2 linked regions of the Solanum lycopersicum genome follow. The protein of the gene in region 2 interacts with the protein of the main gene of each other region in a pairwise test. Links are inferred from orthologs where the notes say so. Each region holds a gene or a part of one and is shown on either strand. Other genes may lie near its edges. The genes, in order: RAD51 and protein CHROMATIN REMODELING 25.

Evidence for each region.
Region 1: the proteins of protein CHROMATIN REMODELING 25 (region 2) and RAD51 interact in binary tests that used the Arabidopsis thaliana proteins (3 or more experiments, as listed by UniProt). The link is inferred for Solanum lycopersicum from reciprocal best matches to the Arabidopsis thaliana genes RAD54 and RAD51.

The regions. Positions count from the first base shown.
Region 1 is NC_090806.1:9,799,155-9,803,682, forward strand, and holds the start of RAD51 (DNA repair protein RAD51 homolog), read right to left. Parts: upstream 3,125-4,528; 5' UTR 3,037-3,124; coding exon 2,941-3,036; intron 1,662-2,940; coding exon 1,517-1,661; intron 1,387-1,516; coding exon 1,276-1,386; intron 1,192-1,275; coding exon 1,100-1,191; intron 1,009-1,099; coding exon 914-1,008; intron 830-913; coding exon 716-829; intron 294-715; coding exon 164-293; intron 13-163; coding exon 1-12. UniProt on the Arabidopsis thaliana protein: Binds to single and double-stranded DNA and exhibits DNA-dependent ATPase activity. Unwinds duplex DNA. Component of the meiotic recombination pathway.
Region 2 is NC_090803.1:55,513,126-55,516,952, reverse strand, and holds part of protein CHROMATIN REMODELING 25, read right to left. Parts: intron 2,354-3,827; coding exon 2,234-2,353; intron 2,157-2,233; coding exon 2,043-2,156; intron 1,954-2,042; coding exon 1,870-1,953; intron 1,789-1,869; coding exon 1,714-1,788; intron 1,645-1,713; coding exon 1,589-1,644; intron 1-1,588. UniProt on the Arabidopsis thaliana protein: Dissociates RAD51 from nucleoprotein filaments formed on dsDNA. Could be involved in the turnover of RAD51 protein-dsDNA filaments. Addition of RAD54 overcomes inhibition of DNA strand exchange by RAD51 bound to substrate dsDNA.

The sequences.
Region 1 (4,528 bases), on a different chromosome or scaffold from region 2:
AGCAACACCAAACTGCAAGTGTAAAAGTAAAGGATAGATAGAAAAAGTAAGTCAAGAACCCCTAATCTAATTCTAAAACATTAACCACCACCAAAGAGAGAAAAATAGGAAGGAGGAGACTCCATTTTGGATAATATGCACAAATGAGGGACATGCTAAATACCTCATCTGCTAACTTCTGAAGGCTTCTCAGAAACTTTGCAAGATGCATCTGCCTGGCAGACAACTCTCCTCTCCCAGAGAAGTCAGTTCTATAAAGGGCAGTAGCACTGTCCACAATCATGAGAGCAAACCTGCTTGATCAAAACAGTTTTCAAAGTTAAGCTTCTATCAGAGATCTTTTTTATGCTTTGATGAGATGAACCCAAATAACTAAGGAAGCCACAAATTCAAGATTTTCACTATATTCAGGAAGCAAATTTTTTTTTGAATTCTAGAACACTTCAAAAAGATTTATTTGTTTGAAACAGGTGAGAGCACACTTCAAACAGATCCAAGATGTATCCAAACATGCATTAGATGTAAGATGGACATCCATAATCAAACAAATTGAGAGCTGCTTCAAACTAGAACCCTTCAACATACTCAATCAAGAGTTGGAATATTCTCTAAAAGATATAATCTAAGCACATTTTCTTGCTCAAAGTATCACAGCCACTGAGAAGCATGAGAAATTTTTTTCATAAATGAGCAGTGGAATATGGAGAAAGTTAACCTGGTCTCCACCATCATTGAGGCTGCCTCAAGCAAAAGTCTTGATTGATGATCGGTATTATAAGCTCGAGCATAGGCTACATTCTCCAGGACATCAGGACCATTCAATCCATACCTGCAGCATTTAACCCCACTGATGACAACAGTTTGAACTTCATAATACCAGAAAAACATGTGAGTTGAGTTACTAGTAGAAGACCTGTCTGCAATTTGTAAAAGTCTTTGTGGTCTGAAAGTACCCTCAGCATCAATGTACATTGCTTTCCCTTCACCACCTCCCTGATCTAATGGAAGCTGAAATAACAGATAAAGAATGATATTTGAATGAATCTTGTGCACTTTATTATGGGATTTTAAAATTAAAAAAATGTCTATGTTATCGTACTTGACAAGTCACGCATAGTGTGTGACACAGCTGAGTCTTTCCACATCGGAACTCTCCGTAAATTTCAGTAATAGATCCAGTTTCGATTCCTCCTGACAAGTGACAAAAAAAGTATGAGGTTGTGATGCCAGGTCAAATTCCGGTTCTAGAAGTTCACAAATTAGATAAATAACTACCTTCTAATATCTTGTCAAGTTCTTTCGATCCAGAAGTTATCTGTATGATTTCAAGCCTCTGTGCATGGAGTTGGCTGGCACTAGTGAATCCCAAAGGCACTAATTTTGAAGCTGTTCATATGCAGCATTAAAAAGATTTAGTACCGATTGCTGATAAAAAATTGCAGAAATGGGTGAAAAAAGAAGGTAAGGGGAAAAAACATCAGCACTGGCAATGGCAGTTAAATGAAGAGAGACATGCCTGCCTCAATAATCTTGTCAACTTTAGCTTCACTAATTCCTTTTATCTGCAGAAGTTCCTTTCTTGGAGCATAAACAACAGATTCAACTGTACATAGACCAGCATCCTTGAGTTTTTTTACATCTAGAGCTGCAATCCCTGATGCCTTGAGGACAAAAAAGCTATATGCCTCAGTAACTAATGGACCATTTCCTTTAAAAGTTGGAAGAATTACAGGGTGTCATTCAACAGAAACAACTATACTACAAGCTAGACTGGAAAAAGATACTCAAAGATATTGCCTCTTAAATATTAACAATTCCAAGAAAAAAATCTAGGAAATGCCTAGTCCAGCTTTTATGTACTACCAGTAAGATTAAAAAATCCTCAAGAGTTTAGGTTTCACTTCGTGTAAATCTTTTTAAAATCTGCAGTATGAGAAACTTATGATAAGTACTTATCTGAGTTACTGTAAATGTTAATCACTCGAGACTTAAAATTCTTCAAAAAAAGATCTAAACTGATAAAATCTTGTAAGGAGCAAAGCTGATAAGCCAACCGCATAACCCAGATGCACACTAAAATATCTGACCATCAACGCCCACCTATTGGACCCTCCATATCATGCGTCATGATGTAAATCATTTTGTGTCAAGTGCCTTTCTAGAAGCAGCTTTTCATGGTGCCCTCAATTCTGTACACTCTGATAGTAACCTACAAATTTCTAATGAAAACTGGTTGTAATTACGGGCAGCAAAACCATTGTAGCAACATCGTTTTTTTTAATTGATGACCTAGAAATTTGTTTTGAGCCAACCCTTATTGCCAACAATAGCATTCGAACTCAGGAATGATGGGTCACTCCTCTACCATTCTCCACTTAAATACTAAACTTAGGCTTGTCGCAGGGCTCCATGACTCCATCGAAACATCATACCAAAAAAACACTCATCCAGGTTTTCAAGATCAGTGGTATCGCTTCGAGAACCCATTTCACAAAGCATTCTACAACATTTAGCTTCAAAACTAAGGCAGTAAAGGACAGATAGATATAACTGTAAAAATATTAGCTTGAAATAATCCACAAGAGCACTATGATAGCGAACCCATTCCAAGAAGCCAAAAAGGGGACAGTATAGAAAACCCCAAAACAAAAAAAAGCATTTCCCATAAGCGAGGCAGATGAGATTCAACCTTGAAAAAAAGCTGTTTCACAAAATTCAGTTTTTTACCATTCAAGATTCAACCCAGAACCACATTTCAAGATTCAACATTTAACCTACGAAGTACAATTCAAGATTCAAGATCAGACCCAGCTACACTGAATCTGAAATCATAAACAATCACTATCACCAAAACAACTACCCCAATCCAAGATTTAGGACACTTGATATATAAAAAGGATTGAATTAACTCCTCAATTAAGAGAAGAAAAGGGGGGAAACCTGAAGTTGTTCAACTGGAAAAGGGCCGTGTTGAACATCCTCGATTTCATCATTTTGGTCTTGCATCGACTTCTGATTCCTGTGCTGCTGCTCCATTGCTAATTTTCTTGATGCTCACTGAGAATGGAAGAATGGAGGCAAAAGGAAATATTTCAAAGGCGTGAGGAGCCGCCAAAAATACTGCAAATGAAATCGTGCTTCACAAGCTGTTTAAATAAAACTAATAAATAAATAATACTTAGGAGGTGTTTGGTATGAAAAAAACAGTTTTCTCTGAAAATGTTTTCTTGGAAAATAAGTGCATTTCTAACTTATTTTCTCATGTTAGTTGGAAAGGAGAACATTTTTTAATGTTTGGTTGGTCAATGAAAATAATTTTCATAAAATATGTTTTTGTATGCAACCGTTATGAATTTGATGGTGATAAAAACAGTTGACAAGCAATAATGTGTCCAGAAATATAGAGAAAATTAGAAAAGAATCACTTTTCAAGAACGTAAAAGGCTCAAAAATACCCATGAAAAGTATTGGATTACATATACCTTTAAATTATATTCTGGCTCAAAATTACCCTCCACTTAAAGTATTGGGTCACATTTACCCTTACTATTAACAGAGGTGTGAATAGTAAAGATAAATATGACTGAATACTTTAACGAAAGGATATTTTTGAGCCAGAATATAGTTTAAGGGTATATGTGAGTTATTTTCGATAGTTTAGGGGTATGTTTTAGCCTTTCCCGTTTCAAGAAAAATAAATATGATTGTTTAATGCCAAATAAATATTCAAAAAACCCTTTTTCGGCCAAATAAATAAAATTGACTTATTTATTACCAATTTATCTATAAGTTGCTATGTTATGCCATTTTTTTCAAAAAGGGAGAAACTACATAAATGGGCCACAATACTCAAAATAATTACAATTTTATAGCCCAACTCAAACTAATTTAGCAAATAGCCATTCACCCAAAATAAATTACAGTTCATGCCCCCTTTAGTTTAGGCTCAATTTCCTTGGAACCCCCTTTAAATTTAGGCTCAATTTTGCCTCTTTAAACGAATGTGATGACACTTATCTATTTCCATCAAGACAAGTCAGCCTCAAATCCAACAACATGTAAGAAATGTGGAAAGTTACACAAGAATAAAAAACTTATTCATTCTAATTGATAAGAGAAAAATATCATATATACTAAGTTATTATTTAATTTTAGTACTAATATTTTTAATCTTTGCGGAAATGTTGCAATGTAATAAAAAAACATCAACTAAGTAGATATGTGGCAAAAGAAACACAGGTGTTGATTTTCAAGAAATTATCTAAGACAAATGGAAATATTAAAGAATTATGAAAGAGATGAATGGAAGTTGAGCAAATATGACAAAGAATTGGACTTTTTTTTTTTGTGTAGAACCCACAAGCTAAAAATGGAAAGAAGAACAAATGAGAAAGATAGAAATGAAGGAATTATCCAGCAAATATGGAAAATAAAAATTGGAAAATAAGGTAGCATGATATCTACCAAAATAAAAAACAAGCATAAGACAAGTTAAATGAAAAAGTTTGTCAAATGTTTCAAATGTTGG
Region 2 (3,827 bases):
GGAGGTACAACAATGAAGATATGACACTTCGGAGATATTTCACTAATCATGAATATGAAATAGAATGCCAATGGATCACTAAAGAATTGACAAGTACTTATGTATGCAGTGTATGAAAAGAGCACTAGGAATCTATGGAATGATTTTGGGAAAATGTGGTGATTGCAGTGGGAGATGGAAGTACAACAGCTTTTTGGGAGGACCACTGGATTAGTGAAAGTAGTTTGAAATTCACTTTTCCTGATCTCTACTATATAAGCTCAATCTCACAACCAGATAAACCAAGTTTGGAGTCAATAAGGGTGGAACCTTATCTTTAGGGGAGCTATGAATGATCGGGAAGTAGAAAATTTAATTACCATGATTCAACTTATAGGAAGTTTGGGTGGAAACGCAGGCAACAAGATAGACTCAGTAACAAAGGTAATATTTCAGTAAAATCAGCTTTGGTTCATGAATCATAATAGCCCCAGAGAGAGATGTGCCTATGGCGGCATGTAAGCAAACTGTGCACGGTAAGAGAAGAGGAGAGATGTTCGCAATTACTACCACAAGAAAGCGGCCCCCGAATGATGTATGGCCTAGGAAACTGATTAGGAGGACAAAACTTCCATTGAAGGTATCTTGTTTTGTCTGGTTAGTGGCGAGGTGATCATGTTTATCTCAAGCAAAGCTACAAAGACGAGGTCTTCAGATTTGTTAAAGGTGTCTAATGTGTGGTCAGTAGGGTAAAAGCAATGAGCATATTTTCTTACATTGTAAGACGACAATAAATCCGTGGCACAAGTTCTTTTGTATTTTGGGCATAAATTGGGCTATGCCTAGGTCTAGTATGGATCTTTTCGAATCATTTAATGAATGTGGGAAAGAGAAATGGAGAGGAACATTGGTGCAAGATCATCACAGCATGTATTTGGTGGATAGTAGAGGAACTAAAACATCTTTAAAATACTAGTGATTCCATTTAAAAGATTAGGAAATTGTCTTGGTTTGTTCCTTTTTTTGGTATAAGCAGTATTTATGGGGGCAAGTAGGAGATTTAGTAGATTTTATTGGTAGAAGTGTAAAGATTACAGATCTGTTAGGAGTTTTTTCCTCTTTGATTTTGCTCTATTTGATTATTGAAAGTTCTAAATTCAGTACCAGTTATGGCGTTGAGTTTATATAGATTATACAAATGTTACCTTTCTCAAATTGTTCGAGTTTATATAGTTCATATGTCAAACTAGTCAATTGATGATTGATATAATATGTTAGCAAGTTTCAGTCCTGTATATGTGTAGATAATATGGAAATCTGTCTTATTCGTCATTCAACCCAGTTTCCACATAAAATATGGGTGAGTTGGAAATATTATTCGTTTTTATCTAACCCGTTTTCAGCTCCATCTATATTAGATCTGACCTGTTCATTTGCCAGCACTACTCAAATGTCAGATGTGAAAAAAGAAAAGGGAATGGGGGAGGTGCACTTCCACACTACAGAATCTCCAAAAGTCACCATAACTGCTAAAAATACTTGAGCCATGTGAAGGTATAGGAGATTTCACATAATGCATTAGCTTAATCCCATTTAGCATGGAACATACCTACTATCATGAAATGTGAACAGGTCCCGCAGGTCTTCTGCTGAGAGACAGTTTCCCTGAAATCACATATTAGTACCAAATTAGAGCAGAAGAATGAGAAAAAATTAGAGACTCTAAAATATTACCTGGATATCAGAATCTGTTTGTTCCTGCTGAATAACTTTCTGAAGACCTTCCTTTGACATCTGACGCTGGTAAACCTGCAAATAAAAATAAATTTCTTCAATCGAACAACTAGAGAAGATAGGAACTCATTAAGCAAAGGCTTCTAGGAATCAAACCTTTTCTTCAATAGTTCCAGTACTCAAAAACCTATAGATGTAGACCCTCTTCTTTTGTCCATCTCTCCAGACTCTTGCAGCAGCCTGAGGAAGAGTTGGAAAATCTAGAAATTATATATTTGATATGCAACATATTCCGGCATCATTTGGTGATACTCAGGCGAAGATTTCACCTGTTTGTCATTGGCTGGATTCCAGTCAGGATCAAATAAAACCAAACGGTTCCCACCAATCAAATTAAGACCGCAACCTCCAGCCTTGCTGCTCAACAGAAATGCAAACTCATCCTAAAAGATGCACAAAATAAGTCTTGGTAATGCCAAAACTTAGTTAGATAAACAAGTGTAACAAAATCCCCAGGTACCTTTGCTGGATCATTGAAATGATTAACTAGCTTCTGTCTTTTACTAATTGATGTAGTTCCATCAAGTCTTAAGAAGGGATATCTCCTTTCACGGCATAATTGAGAGAAAAGGTCCAGTGTCTGATTAATCACAACTCACAGTTAGGACAGACCACAAAAGAAAGAAGGAAGAGAAAACAACAGAGAGAAATCAGTTACTTATTAATTAAGGAAGAGGAAACAAATGAGAGAATTTCAGTTATACACTAGAAAATTGAATGTTATAAGCAAATATGTAACTCTATATCACAGTGTTCACATCTTGAAAGCAGGCTGTTAACCTTCATTATCTTCTGAAATAAAAGTTACAGTCACAAACAAGTTTGTCTGGTGCTGAAGTTTTACCAGCAGATATTAGACTCAGAGTAACTAAAGGAGCTAGAGCTGAGAGATGATAGTCACATGTTCTGTTAACAATATGGAACTTAGGGGTTGTTTGGTTGGGAGTATTAGAAGAAATAGATTATTATGTATGGTATTATATAATACTATGTGTTTGGTAGGAATTTGTGTCTATGTATAACTAGGGATTAGTTATGCATCCTACATGGTATTATAGGATGTACTATAATACCTTCTTTTGGAGGTATGGGATAAGTATGTATAAAGACAAAATATTCTTCAAATTCTTTTAATTATTTTATTGATTTTATGTTTTATATTTGTACTAGTAAATTCATTTAAATAAATTAGCTTACAAATTATTAACAGAGTTGTTTGTCACTAAATAAATCCAATACAAATCAATACAATATTTGAAATGTGAGTTGTTTAACATTAACTCATTAAAAGAGGCAAATATATCACCACATGACGTTTGTAATCTTAATTGAATGTACAATTTGTTTATATATATATACACACACACACACACACAATTTGTCGATATATGTGTGTGTAGTTTCTAATTATTTGTATTTTGAAAAATTTATAAAATTGCATACATATTAAAACTATAAGTTCAATTTTTATATGTAAATTTAGATGATTTATTCAACTTTATTATTGTTTACCGTCTTTTCAATTTTAAAAGTAGATAGCTTATCTTTTTTGAATAAAAATGACACTTTGTAAGTGATCAATTTACTAAGATGACAATTATGTATTCTCAAAAAATTTAAATGGAAAAAAAGACAAACATGTCAACAAATTTTTTCTTCTCATAGCTAGTTTGAAGGCATAAAAAAATAGTATTGTTCAGCAATTATTTACCTTGACCAAATTACATAATAATTTAAGTGTATAATTGGAAAGAAACTTTCTTATAAAGTTTTAATCCAAACACAAGAGGAGATGAGAAACAATGAACCAAACACTTAGTAAAATTAAAGTTTGCATTACTAATCCCTGCATTACTAATCCGTGTTACTGATCCCTGCATCACTAATCTTTGTACAAACGACCCCTTAGAACATCAGAAATGAGGAAAACACTCGGTATATAAGATTGATGAAGATCAATGTGGCAACTGGCATGTATCTTACTTCAGGAAAACACAAGAATACTCGACTAAGAGAATGGGAAGAAGAAAGCTAGCACATCTGCAAAAAAGGAA